Arabidopsis thaliana: one gene and its partner. The protein of the gene in region 1 interacts with the protein of each later gene in a pairwise test. Each region holds a gene or a part of one and is shown on either strand. Other genes may lie near its edges. The genes, in order: AVP1 and AT2G39805.

Region 1 (6,185 bases):
TATTCCAGATCTTTATACGGTTTTAGATACCAATAAATATCTGACACTGAACTAAATCGATAAAAAGTATAAATAAAGCACCATATGTTATTAAAATATAATTCACATAAAAAATATCAAATAATTCATAGATTTGCCTATAAGCAAATGACTCGTCCGTGACTGTTAAATGAAATTAATCGGTACAAGTTATCTATGGAAAACAGTTCAACTATTTAACTATATCTTCTACTACAGTGTCTTTTTCGTTCTAATTGAGTAATTCATAAACGTTTAACTAATTCGATTGATACTCATCAACGCCTTATAGCATTGTCAATATACAACTATAAACATTGAGATGTCACCAAATTTTGGTGAGGCTAAATAGAAAACATTATAATTACGACGACGACGATAATCTAATCATATATCATGGAAAGTCACAAATCTTACCGTGTAAAATCATTCGCCTCTTTCTAATTCAATTATTGTTTTAACTTTAATTAGGTGGATTGGTTTGAATTCTACGTTTACCACACCAGTCACCACTTGGATAAACCTTTAGGCCATGAATGATATTATATAATTTAGAAAGAAATGGAAACTAAATCGTGATTGAAAGATAAAAGTATGTCAGCCACAAAACTAGGAAAGATTTCCTTTACATGATAATAATTTTTTCGAGATTCATTAGCAACCTGCAAAAGGGAACAAAGATAAAGCATGAGTGGTCACTAGTACTCACTGAGTACCCAAAAAAAACACAATTAAATGCTAAGAAAATTCCACAAAATAATTTTTTGGTTAAGATATTTTATTTTATATATAAAAAGGTATTTATCCGATTGGAGGGTTGCACACCATTCAATACACTTAATTACGTCAGCCGTTCGAAAAGGCCCTCCGATATATCCTCCTCTCTCACAAACTTCTTCAATTTTGTATTCACTGGCAATATCTATGTACGGTTTGGTGCACTGTATCTTCTTACACGACTGTCTCGTATCGTATGAAGATGAGATTAAAATGAAAAAGTATTGGAATCTAACCTAATCGAACAAATGCCAAAAATAATTTAGTACAACGTCGAATCGAATTTGTGAAAGTACTATAGAATCGATTCACATTAGAGACGAATACGAGTTTTTATTCCACTTTAAATTTCATCGTAAACTGAAAAGTTTTTTTTTTTTTTTTTTGCTTTGCATTTTTCTTTTTTGCTTTATCTGACACGTAGATATTAATCAGCACACGGATGTAGTTTTATCTCTTTGCCAAAAAAAGAGAGTCAAATCCTCAAATTTAATCCTACATAAATGAGAATTTTGTTATTGTTAATCATAGCTTTTACAATTATAGCAAGCATTTACTTTACCCCAATAAAGTTTATGGCAAGCATTTATATATCGTGGATTGGTAAATTAACAATTTTATACAGATGGCCTGTTTTAATTAAAGGGTTAGATTTTTCACTATGGCTTTCATTTAAACAATTAAAAACCCTGATATTTTAACTACGTATTTCCATTTATCCTAATCATGAAATTAATACAAAATGATTTAGGCTCTTAACTATATCTTCTTTTTTTATTGTTCAAAGCTCTTTACTATTTATCCATATTTGATAATATGTACACTGAATCCATCTTTGTAAAATAGGAAGAGAGAATTAAATGATATATTTTAGACCAAAATACACCCGATTTGGTAAATACTCAGAATATACCATATGGATCAGATAAATCATAATCTTCACCTAACTAAATTAATTTTCTACCACGAAGGGGGATTGACTACAAAACCCGAAAAGTACTAATCATGTACTTCCAGATCCGACGGCTAAAAACGCATCGATCAACACGTAGTAGGTGTCTTTCGCCCTAAACTCAACGACCAAGATGAACTCAAGCTTTACTTTGCTGTCGTGTCCGACAACTACCGGATAGATGAGGATGAATCTAAATTCGGACAAATAGAGCGTAGTCAACACGCGCGTAAATGAGTTCTGATGGTGTAGCGTAAAAACCGTGTACCCAACCGTACCGGATTCCATCTATCTTTCTGGATGGGAGCATCCAAAGAGAAGAAGGAGAGAGCTAGTCTTATATAACGACACGATATCCTCACCTATTTACGCCTCATTTTCTTCTTCACCTCTCTCTCTGTGTGTGTTCTGTGTTCTCTCTCTCGCGCGAAGCGGTTCTCTTTCTTTTGTTTATTTGTTTTTATTTGTTTTTCTCTTATACGGAGGAGAGAAGATGGTGGCGCCTGCTTTGTTACCGGAGCTCTGGACGGAGATCCTTGTACCGATTTGTGCGGTGATTGGTATCGCCTTTTCGCTTTTCCAATGGTACGTTGTATCTCGCGTGAAACTCACCTCTGACCTCGGCGCATCGTCTTCCGGTGGAGCTAACAATGGGAAGAATGGATACGGTGATTATCTAATCGAGGAAGAGGAAGGTGTTAATGACCAGAGTGTTGTCGCTAAGTGCGCTGAGATTCAGACTGCTATTTCCGAAGGTAAGATCTATTGATACTTTATTCAGATCTCACTGTTCTGTTTTTAGATCTGGCTCTGTTTTTTGATTGGTGGTTGTTTGATGATGTTTTGGATTGTTAGAACGTTGAAATTACTAATTCAGTATCTTGTGAAATCTGAGATGATGTGTGTTTTCTGAGTGAATAATATTGGGATCTGTTTGGTTGTTGTGGGGACAGGTGCAACTTCATTCCTATTCACGGAGTACAAATATGTTGGTGTCTTCATGATTTTCTTTGCTGCTGTTATCTTTGTTTTCCTCGGCTCTGTTGAGGGATTCAGCACTGATAACAAGCCTTGTACTTACGACACCACCAGAACCTGCAAGCCTGCATTGGCTACTGCAGCTTTCAGTACCATTGCTTTCGTGCTTGGTGCTGTTACCTCTGTTCTATCTGGTTTCCTTGGGATGAAGATTGCTACATACGCTAATGCTAGGACCACTTTGGAGGCGAGGAAAGGTGTTGGAAAGGCGTTCATTGTTGCATTCAGGTCTGGTGCTGTGATGGGTTTCCTTCTTGCAGCGAGTGGTCTATTGGTGCTTTACATTACTATCAATGTGTTCAAGATCTATTACGGAGATGACTGGGAAGGTCTTTTTGAGGCTATTACTGGTTATGGTCTTGGTGGGTCTTCCATGGCTCTCTTTGGCCGTGTTGGTGGTGGGATCTACACTAAGGCTGCTGATGTCGGCGCTGACCTTGTCGGTAAAATTGAGAGGAATATTCCAGAGGATGATCCAAGAAACCCAGCTGTAAGTACACCATTTCACTGTGTGATAACACTTTGCTTTCTTTTTTTCAATAGAAGTTAAGACTTATTTTGGTTGGTTATGTTACAGGTCATTGCTGATAATGTCGGTGACAATGTTGGTGACATTGCTGGTATGGGATCTGATCTCTTTGGATCATATGCTGAAGCATCATGCGCTGCTCTTGTTGTTGCCTCGATCTCATCTTTCGGAATCAACCACGACTTCACTGCCATGTGCTACCCATTGCTCATCAGTTCAATGGGAATCTTGGTTTGTTTGATCACAACTCTCTTTGCCACTGACTTCTTTGAGATTAAGCTTGTCAAGGAGATTGAACCAGCATTGAAGAACCAGCTCATTATCTCAACTGTTATTATGACTGTTGGTATTGCTATTGTGTCATGGGTTGGCTTACCGACCTCCTTTACCATCTTCAACTTTGGAACACAAAAAGTTGTCAAGAACTGGTAATTTCCTTGTGGATGATTGCTTTTGTTTTTTTCCTGCATTTCTCTATTCAAATTTCTCGTTGCACTTTTTTAAGTCTTGCATTATTTTGGATTTCAGGCAGCTATTCCTTTGTGTTTGTGTTGGTCTTTGGGCTGGACTCATTATTGGTTTCGTCACTGAGTACTACACTAGTAACGCCTACAGGTAAGACTCATTTTAGCTGTATTTAGTCACTAACTTTTCCCAGCTAGTAGAGCTAACTCTTATGTCCTCCTATTCTTGCAGCCCTGTGCAAGATGTTGCAGATTCATGCAGAACTGGTGCAGCTACCAATGTTATCTTCGGCCTTGCTCTTGGTTACAAATCCGTCATTATTCCAATCTTTGCTATTGCTATCAGTATATTCGTTAGCTTCAGCTTTGCTGCTATGTATGGTGTTGCTGTTGCTGCTCTTGGTATGCTCAGTACCATTGCCACTGGTTTGGCAATTGATGCTTATGGTCCCATCAGTGACAATGCTGGTGGTATTGCTGAAATGGCTGGAATGAGCCACCGCATCCGTGAAAGAACTGATGCTCTTGATGCCGCTGGAAACACCACTGCTGCTATTGGAAAGGTATGGAGCCTTCTTAACCTCTTTCTGCAATCCGATGAATTAATAAAAGAGCTTGCTTGCTTGAACCATTCCTCAGGTTGCCTTTGCTTGTGTTGTATTTTGACATGTTATTCTGGTTTGTTGTGTACAGGGATTTGCCATTGGCTCTGCTGCCCTAGTCTCCTTGGCTCTCTTTGGTGCCTTTGTGAGCCGTGCAGGGATCCACACCGTAGATGTTTTGACCCCTAAAGTTATCATTGGGCTCCTTGTTGGTGCCATGCTTCCTTACTGGTTCTCTGCCATGACAATGAAGAGTGTGGGAAGTGCAGCTCTTAAGATGGTTGAAGAAGTTCGCAGGCAGTTCAACACCATCCCTGGACTTATGGAAGGAACCGCAAAACCAGACTACGCCACATGTGTCAAGATCTCCACCGATGCTTCCATCAAGGAAATGATACCTCCTGGTTGCCTTGTCATGCTCACACCTCTCATTGTTGGTTTCTTCTTTGGAGTTGAGACCCTCTCTGGTGTCCTCGCCGGATCTCTTGTATCCGGTGTTCAGGTAAAGTATATTCTCAATTCAATTGTGAATAACTATTCTTAAAAAAAATGCTCATCGATGCTCTCTGTTTATTCTATTCAGATCGCCATATCAGCATCTAACACTGGTGGTGCCTGGGACAACGCCAAGAAATACATCGAGGTAATGGAATTTTCTTGTAGCTTAAATCAAACCATTTGAAAATATGAAGTCAAATCCTTAAGCATTGTTATATATTCGCAGGCTGGTGTATCAGAGCACGCAAAGAGCCTTGGACCAAAGGGTTCAGAGCCACACAAGGCAGCTGTGATTGGAGACACAATTGGAGACCCATTGAAGGATACTTCAGGACCTTCATTGAACATCCTCATCAAGCTCATGGCTGTTGAGTCTCTTGTCTTTGCTCCCTTCTTCGCCACTCACGGTGGTATCCTTTTCAAGTACTTCTAAACTCAATCCGAGGGAAGAAGATGACGATGATGAAGAAGAAGAAGATGATGATGGCGATCGATTCTAAACTTTCTTTTTTACCATTCTTATTTTCGTTTACCGTAGGTGGTTAAAAAACCTTTTTTGTTGATGAGGCTCATTTAAAGAACCAACCAAATGATGTTTCTTTCTCTCACTCTCTGTCTTTCTGTTTTCTTTTTGTTCTGTTTAGAATTTAGAAATCCACCAAGTATTCGGTCGAGACTTGTTTTAGCCGTTACTTTCTGCTGCTTATATTTCCTAAATTGGTTGTCTTCTTCGAGACATAATTGGAATTTATTGTTACTGTTAGTCTTTTGTCGGCGTTAGGTGTAAACGATTCTCAATTTCTCATGATCTGTAAATTCTTTCATGACATTTATTACCACAAACAACAAATGATTTTACACAGCTGTAGTTTCTACCTAAGACTCTCGAAGAGCTTCTGCTCCAGCCACAATCTCCAGCAACTCCCCAGTGATCTTAGCCTGTCTCGCTCGGTTATAAGCCATCGTCAGATTCTTCTTCAATTCAACCGCATTATCAGTCGCATTACTCATCGCATTCATCCTCGACGCAAGCTCACTCGCTAAAGATTCCTGCAGTGCTCTTAGAATCTGACTGTTGAGATACAAAGGCATCATTGCATCAAGAATCTGAACAGGGTCTTGCTCAAACTGCATCAACGGTGAGATCTCAGGCTTCTCAACTTCAAGCTTGGTCCTTTCCACAGCTAACTTCCCATCTTTGCTCGTTAGCCTAAACATCTCATCCTCGATAGCATCAACACACTCACCTTTCACATCACAAGACTCTCCTTTCATCGACAAAGGCAACAGAGTGTGGATCACAGGAT
Region 2 (5,230 bases), on another chromosome or scaffold:
ATTATCGTGCCTTTCATACATCTAAATGCAAAGCTTTTACAGTACAAACTTTACTGCAAGCCGTATACAAAACAAGTAACTCATTCTATGACAGAGGCAAACTAAACATTAATGCACGTAGGAAACTTCAATGTACAACGGATATTTCTAAGGGGGATAAAGAGAGTTATTTAAGCATACTTTTGCAAAACTGTTTGGATATCAATGAAATGAAATCATGGCTGACCTGCTTTGTTTTACCAATGTTCTCTCTCAGCGTCTGCACATCTTGAAGCTGAGGTGACACAGAACCCTTAAAAGCTGATTCCATAACTTCGAGCACACTACATATGCCAGCCACCTGTTTGGAACACCTTAGGAGTTTATCTAACCACGCTTGCATCTCTTTTGTTTCAAGATTATCTGAGGGCCAATATTAAAGATAGACAGACCTTACGGTGCACAAATATACAGTCTTAAGAAACATAAAAATATTAACAGCTAAAAGGATACAGATTTCTTGAAGTTCAGCTAAGGTGCTCCGGAATGTACGCTTGACCCAATCCTTGACAACAACTTCATCCAGCAAGAAAGCAATGACCGGATCACTAGATACAGCTGTCTCATCCATACAGACATTGGTGATATCTATTAATTTTCTGTCAAGGAGATGTCAACTATGCATCCAACATAAAATACCTCTTAGAGAATGAATGACAAAAACACTATGCACATTTCGCCCAACAGAGACAAGCATGAAACAAGAACTACCTAAAAATACATGAACCTATCAGTACAAAACTCCCCATATAAACACAGTTCCTAATAGCACAAGCATACGAATCTAAAAGAAATTCATGAAAGTATCAAACAGGAAACTAAAAGACTAAATGCATATATCAGACACCAAGCATAAATGCAACTGAAGGATACAATGGCAAACCACCGAGATCAAATTATTGTTCATAGCAACATCAAACAGAGAATAAAGGCGATGAACATCAGCTGCCAATTGATGTTCATCCTCATCCGAATCCTGTGACGCCTCTTCATGTGTTCGGGAAATCAAACCAGCTTCAACACACTCATAATAGAGACGAAGCCTAAGTCTATCTCCAAATTTTGGTAGCGTACTTCTACAGATAGGACAAACATCACACCTCTGACAACACTCTGTGCACAAGGAGGCATGACCACATGGATTCAACACATAGTTCACAAATCTTCCACAGCTAGCTAAGTCTCTTGTTGCACGACATCGCTCAACTTTTGCCTCATTACATAATTCTCTGAGGTTTATAGATGCCAAATGTTTCAACGCCTCCTGTAAGTTACAAACAATAAATTCGAAATTAACTCTAAGCTCTGCAAAACCCATTTTTTTAAGCTGAACCTAGAAATCCTAAGACCTGAGCTAAACTAATTCAGTGGAGAAATAAAAAGGTATAAAGCGGAAGAACCTGAACAGGCTTGCTACTGTAATTAGGCTGCGTAGGAAGAGATATCGATCTCGCGGCGGAGGCAAAACCGTTGATTTCTCTCGTATCCATCTACTCCGGTGACGAATACAAAAATGGAGGTAAAGAGAGAAAAAGCGTGGTTGGTGTTGGCGAGAGTGATAAAACCAGTCTAGGGCTCCGTTGAGCTTTCTCGGGAGGGAAGACGAAGAGAGGAAACACTGTTGAGTGAATTTCTCCTCAAACGGGTCAAGTCGGATTGTTTAATTCGGGTCAAATTTTAAATATGGGCCTTTCTTTTTGAAGTCTTGTGTGAATCTTGTGATTGTCTGGGCCCAAGTCGGCAAATCACGATTCGGGTCAAAATTTAAATATGGGCCTTTGTTTTTGAAGTCTTGTGTGAATCTTGTGATTGTCTGGGCCCAAGTCGGCAAATCACGTGTCCGAAAGTGAACAGCGCGTGTTTTACCGACTTGCTAAGAAAGCGCGTGGATCGTTCTTTCTTTAGTTTCTCTTCCTTTCCCAATTGCTTCCACGACGACGGAGGAGGAGAAGCAAACCCAGAAACCTTAAAAATTCAGAAAAAGGGACGACCTTTTTTCCGATCTTATCGATTTTTGAATGAGATTAGAAGAACCTATCTTCTAAGTTTTTCTTTGATATCTTTTTCTCTTTGATCGATGGATGAGTCGTTCGCTAATCTACAATCAAGCCATTTGCTTGGTTCAGTTCCGGTAAGTCTATATTACATCTATTGCTTCTTTCATTTCACCATCAATAAGCTCTTTGATTGAGTTTTTCTATGATCCTTGTTTGTGTGAAGGGAAAATTAACGTTTTTTGTTCATGCCATCATTTTGTTTGTTGTTCTGTCTCAAGTGTTACATTAGGAAGTAGAATTTTGAAACTTTTCAGATTTTTTTGTCATATTTTTTCGCGTCCACGATGATGCCTAAAGTCTTCACACTCATAGAACAATGGACGATTTCCTTATTTGCATTTCTGGGTTTCTATATTTGTTAAGGCGTTTTATTTAAGTTTTTTCACCATTTTAGGAGACAATTCGTATGAAAAACAAAACTGTATTTGAGTTTAAATGCTTGCATGATAGCTTCATTTTGGATTGAATCCGCTAAGATAAATGTTTTGAGTGAATGGATTGACTATCCCCGTGTTATTATGTCTGATACAAACATCTGTATTCTTAGGCTGTGATCAGCGACGACAAGAGAAGCACAAATGTACCAATAGCAAGCGTCAATGAAGGTGTGTTCTTTTGCTAGTTTCTGCTTGAATTATCTTTTGCAAAGAACTTTTCCGGTAGTGAAAGACATTGAGTGTTGTATGTCTTCTGCATTATTGCAGGCCCTTCTGCAAGCATGCAAATATTTCCACCGAATCTAGGAAACAATACAAAGGGTTATCAAACTCTTGAGAGCCCAACAGGTATATATGCTCCTTTTAGATTCCTTTTTTAGGAGATATTTTTATCTGTAGTCACCATGAATCAGTACAATGGTTGAAAGAATACTTGTGTGAGTCAACCTCGTTTTTCTTATGGATGTCAAGATCCTATATACCTTTGTTTTCACCTTGTTCTGTCTTATATGGTGATATATCTTATCTGCTCCAGTAGAAGGACCAGCACAACAGCCATCAAACAACTGGAAGGGCTTTTTTAATGTCTACTCATATACCCAATACTTCGACGTGGACACGGACGTTGTTTTGAACAGATTAATGAGCTCTTTATATCCTACTAGTGGAGATTTTTTCAACAAGATTGATGCAAACCCTGATTTGTAAGTCTTTTAATGCCTTTTTCTCCTTCACTCTTCTTGGTGATTGTACTTACCATGAGAGAGTTCTTTCGAATTTCTTTAATCGGTCCATTGCTCAGTCATGCCGTTAATTTGTTACCGTTCTAAGTGTTATCTTCTGCACCTTTCCGAAAGCATGATCTTGCTATTCATTTACTCCTATGTTACTTCAGGCGATTGATTAAAATATCCTCATTTTCTCTTGGACAAATGAACAGAAAGCATCATAATATGTTATCCTCTAAAGATTGGCTAAAAGCTAGGCCTTTCACAAATTATTCTTGATTAATGACTCGTGTGTGCTTCTGTTAGGTATGGACTTGTCTGGATCTGCACTACGCTTGTGTTTGTGCTTGCTTCTCTCGGAAATTGTGCTACATATCTCGTGAAGAAACGAACCGACAGTAATGCTCCTTGGATCTTTGATGTGAACTATATGAATTTGGCAGCATCTATAATATATGGATATGCAATAATTGTGCCTCTGGGATTTTATTTTGCACTCCGTTATATGGGGTCCAAAGCTGATCTTCTAAGATTCTGGTGCCTTTGGGGATACTCTCTCTTCATTTTCGTTCCAACCTCTGTAAGTATCTTCAGTAACTTCGGTCTCTTTTGCTGTTAAAATTAATCAATTGATGATCAGTAACACTAAAGACAAATGCATATACTTGATACACAATGGTTTGGTAACTTCACTTTCAATGACCATGTACAATGACATAAATCAACCTAACTTGATATCACAACTTTATACTTCATACTGTTTAAGCATAATAACACTCAGGATGTTCTATTTTGCAGCTTCCATTGCTTATTCCAGTAGAGTTTCTGAGATGGGTGATTATACTCTTAGCTGGTAGTGCATCATCGTGTTTTGTTGCCCTGAATCTACGGTCTTACCTCGAGACGAACAATGATATCACGGTTGTAATGGCTGCAGCATTTGGTCTGCAAATGGTTCTTTCAATCTTCATCAAGGTCTGGTTCTTTCCTTAATCTCCATGAGACGGTCAACACCAGACAAAACATATATATGTAAAAACCTTTAGATTTTGATGTGCTGCGGTAGAACTAAGAATGTCGTTACCAGAAAATGAAACCCACAAAGTAGAAGAAGGAACATATCCGCTAAATCATTCGGTTTCGTTTTTACTGGCGGATTTTCATCGTTGCTTGTAACGATTGTGTTTTTTCATTTTTTGGTTTTGTTTGCTACCACTTATTTTGCTTATGGAGTAAAAATATATAAAAGAAAAAAAGGAAGTTTTCAAGATTTATTGCAATTTACTCTCTTTTGTGAAGAGTGGAGGAGAGTGTTGAGTTATGATTCTGTATCTTTTGGTACATTTTGTAGTCTTTTGAATGTGGCAGAAGATATCACAGAATGGACTATAAAAGTATAAACCTTTTTTGAGTACAGAGCATGTGAAGTATGAAAGAAAAAAGCCAAAATGTCACATTAGATAACCTGTGAATTATCTTTATTTCTCCTTTGAATAAAAAAATGGATAAAGTATCTGCGAGATTTATCATTTATGAACAGACTCGATTTACAGGTCAATCTTACTCGCTAATAAGTTATAATTGATTTGTTCTTAAGAAACATCACCAGCACTTACAACAAGAATCCTCAGACTTTTAGTTAATGAAACATGTTAGGTAGAATAATGGGCTGCGCAGTAGTTATGGGCCTACTTCACTGGCCTATTGGAATAGATAAAAATCACATTTTGGTTTTTTTTTTTTCTATCTAAACTCAAATATTGTTGTGTTCTAAGCACACATACAATATGCTCTAACGAAATCTTATCAAGAAAGAAATTTTTGTTGCAAGTTGTAACCATGAATTTTACAGTTTCTCTCTGTTATGAGATCCTTATATTGACGTTCAAGTTTTTGAGTTGCATTGAAAATTAGATTATGATGTGAATATTTATATAACTCAAAGATTCGAAGCTATGGTTTAAGCCTT

What was found.
Region 2: the proteins of AVP1 (region 1) and AT2G39805 interact in a protein complementation assay, tested with the Arabidopsis thaliana proteins (one large-scale study listed by BioGRID).

What each region holds. Positions count from the first base shown.
Region 1 is NC_003070.9:5,396,875-5,403,059, forward strand, and holds AVP1 (Inorganic H pyrophosphatase family protein), read left to right. Parts: upstream 1-2,051; 5' UTR 2,052-2,240; coding exon 2,241-2,502; intron 2,503-2,700; coding exon 2,701-3,275; intron 3,276-3,362; coding exon 3,363-3,742; intron 3,743-3,842; coding exon 3,843-3,929; intron 3,930-4,010; coding exon 4,011-4,341; intron 4,342-4,471; coding exon 4,472-4,882; intron 4,883-4,963; coding exon 4,964-5,023; intron 5,024-5,104; coding exon 5,105-5,311; 3' UTR 5,312-5,645; downstream 5,646-6,185. Other genes in the region: ATPC2 (ATPase, F1 complex, gamma subunit protein), read right to left, coding at 5,755-6,185. UniProt on the Arabidopsis thaliana protein: Contributes to the transtonoplast (from cytosol to vacuole lumen) H(+)-electrochemical potential difference. It establishes a proton gradient of similar and often greater magnitude than the H(+)-ATPase on the same membrane.
Region 2 is NC_003071.7:16,609,240-16,614,469, reverse strand, and holds AT2G39805 (Integral membrane Yip1 family protein), read left to right. Parts: upstream 1-1,915; 5' UTR 1,916-2,116; coding exon 2,117-2,170; intron 2,171-2,643; coding exon 2,644-2,701; intron 2,702-2,800; coding exon 2,801-2,881; intron 2,882-3,068; coding exon 3,069-3,237; intron 3,238-3,567; coding exon 3,568-3,841; intron 3,842-4,059; coding exon 4,060-4,254; 3' UTR 4,255-4,571; downstream 4,572-5,230. Other genes in the region: HOS1 (ubiquitin-protein ligase), read right to left, coding at 227-402, 493-627, 913-1,303, 1,440-1,529.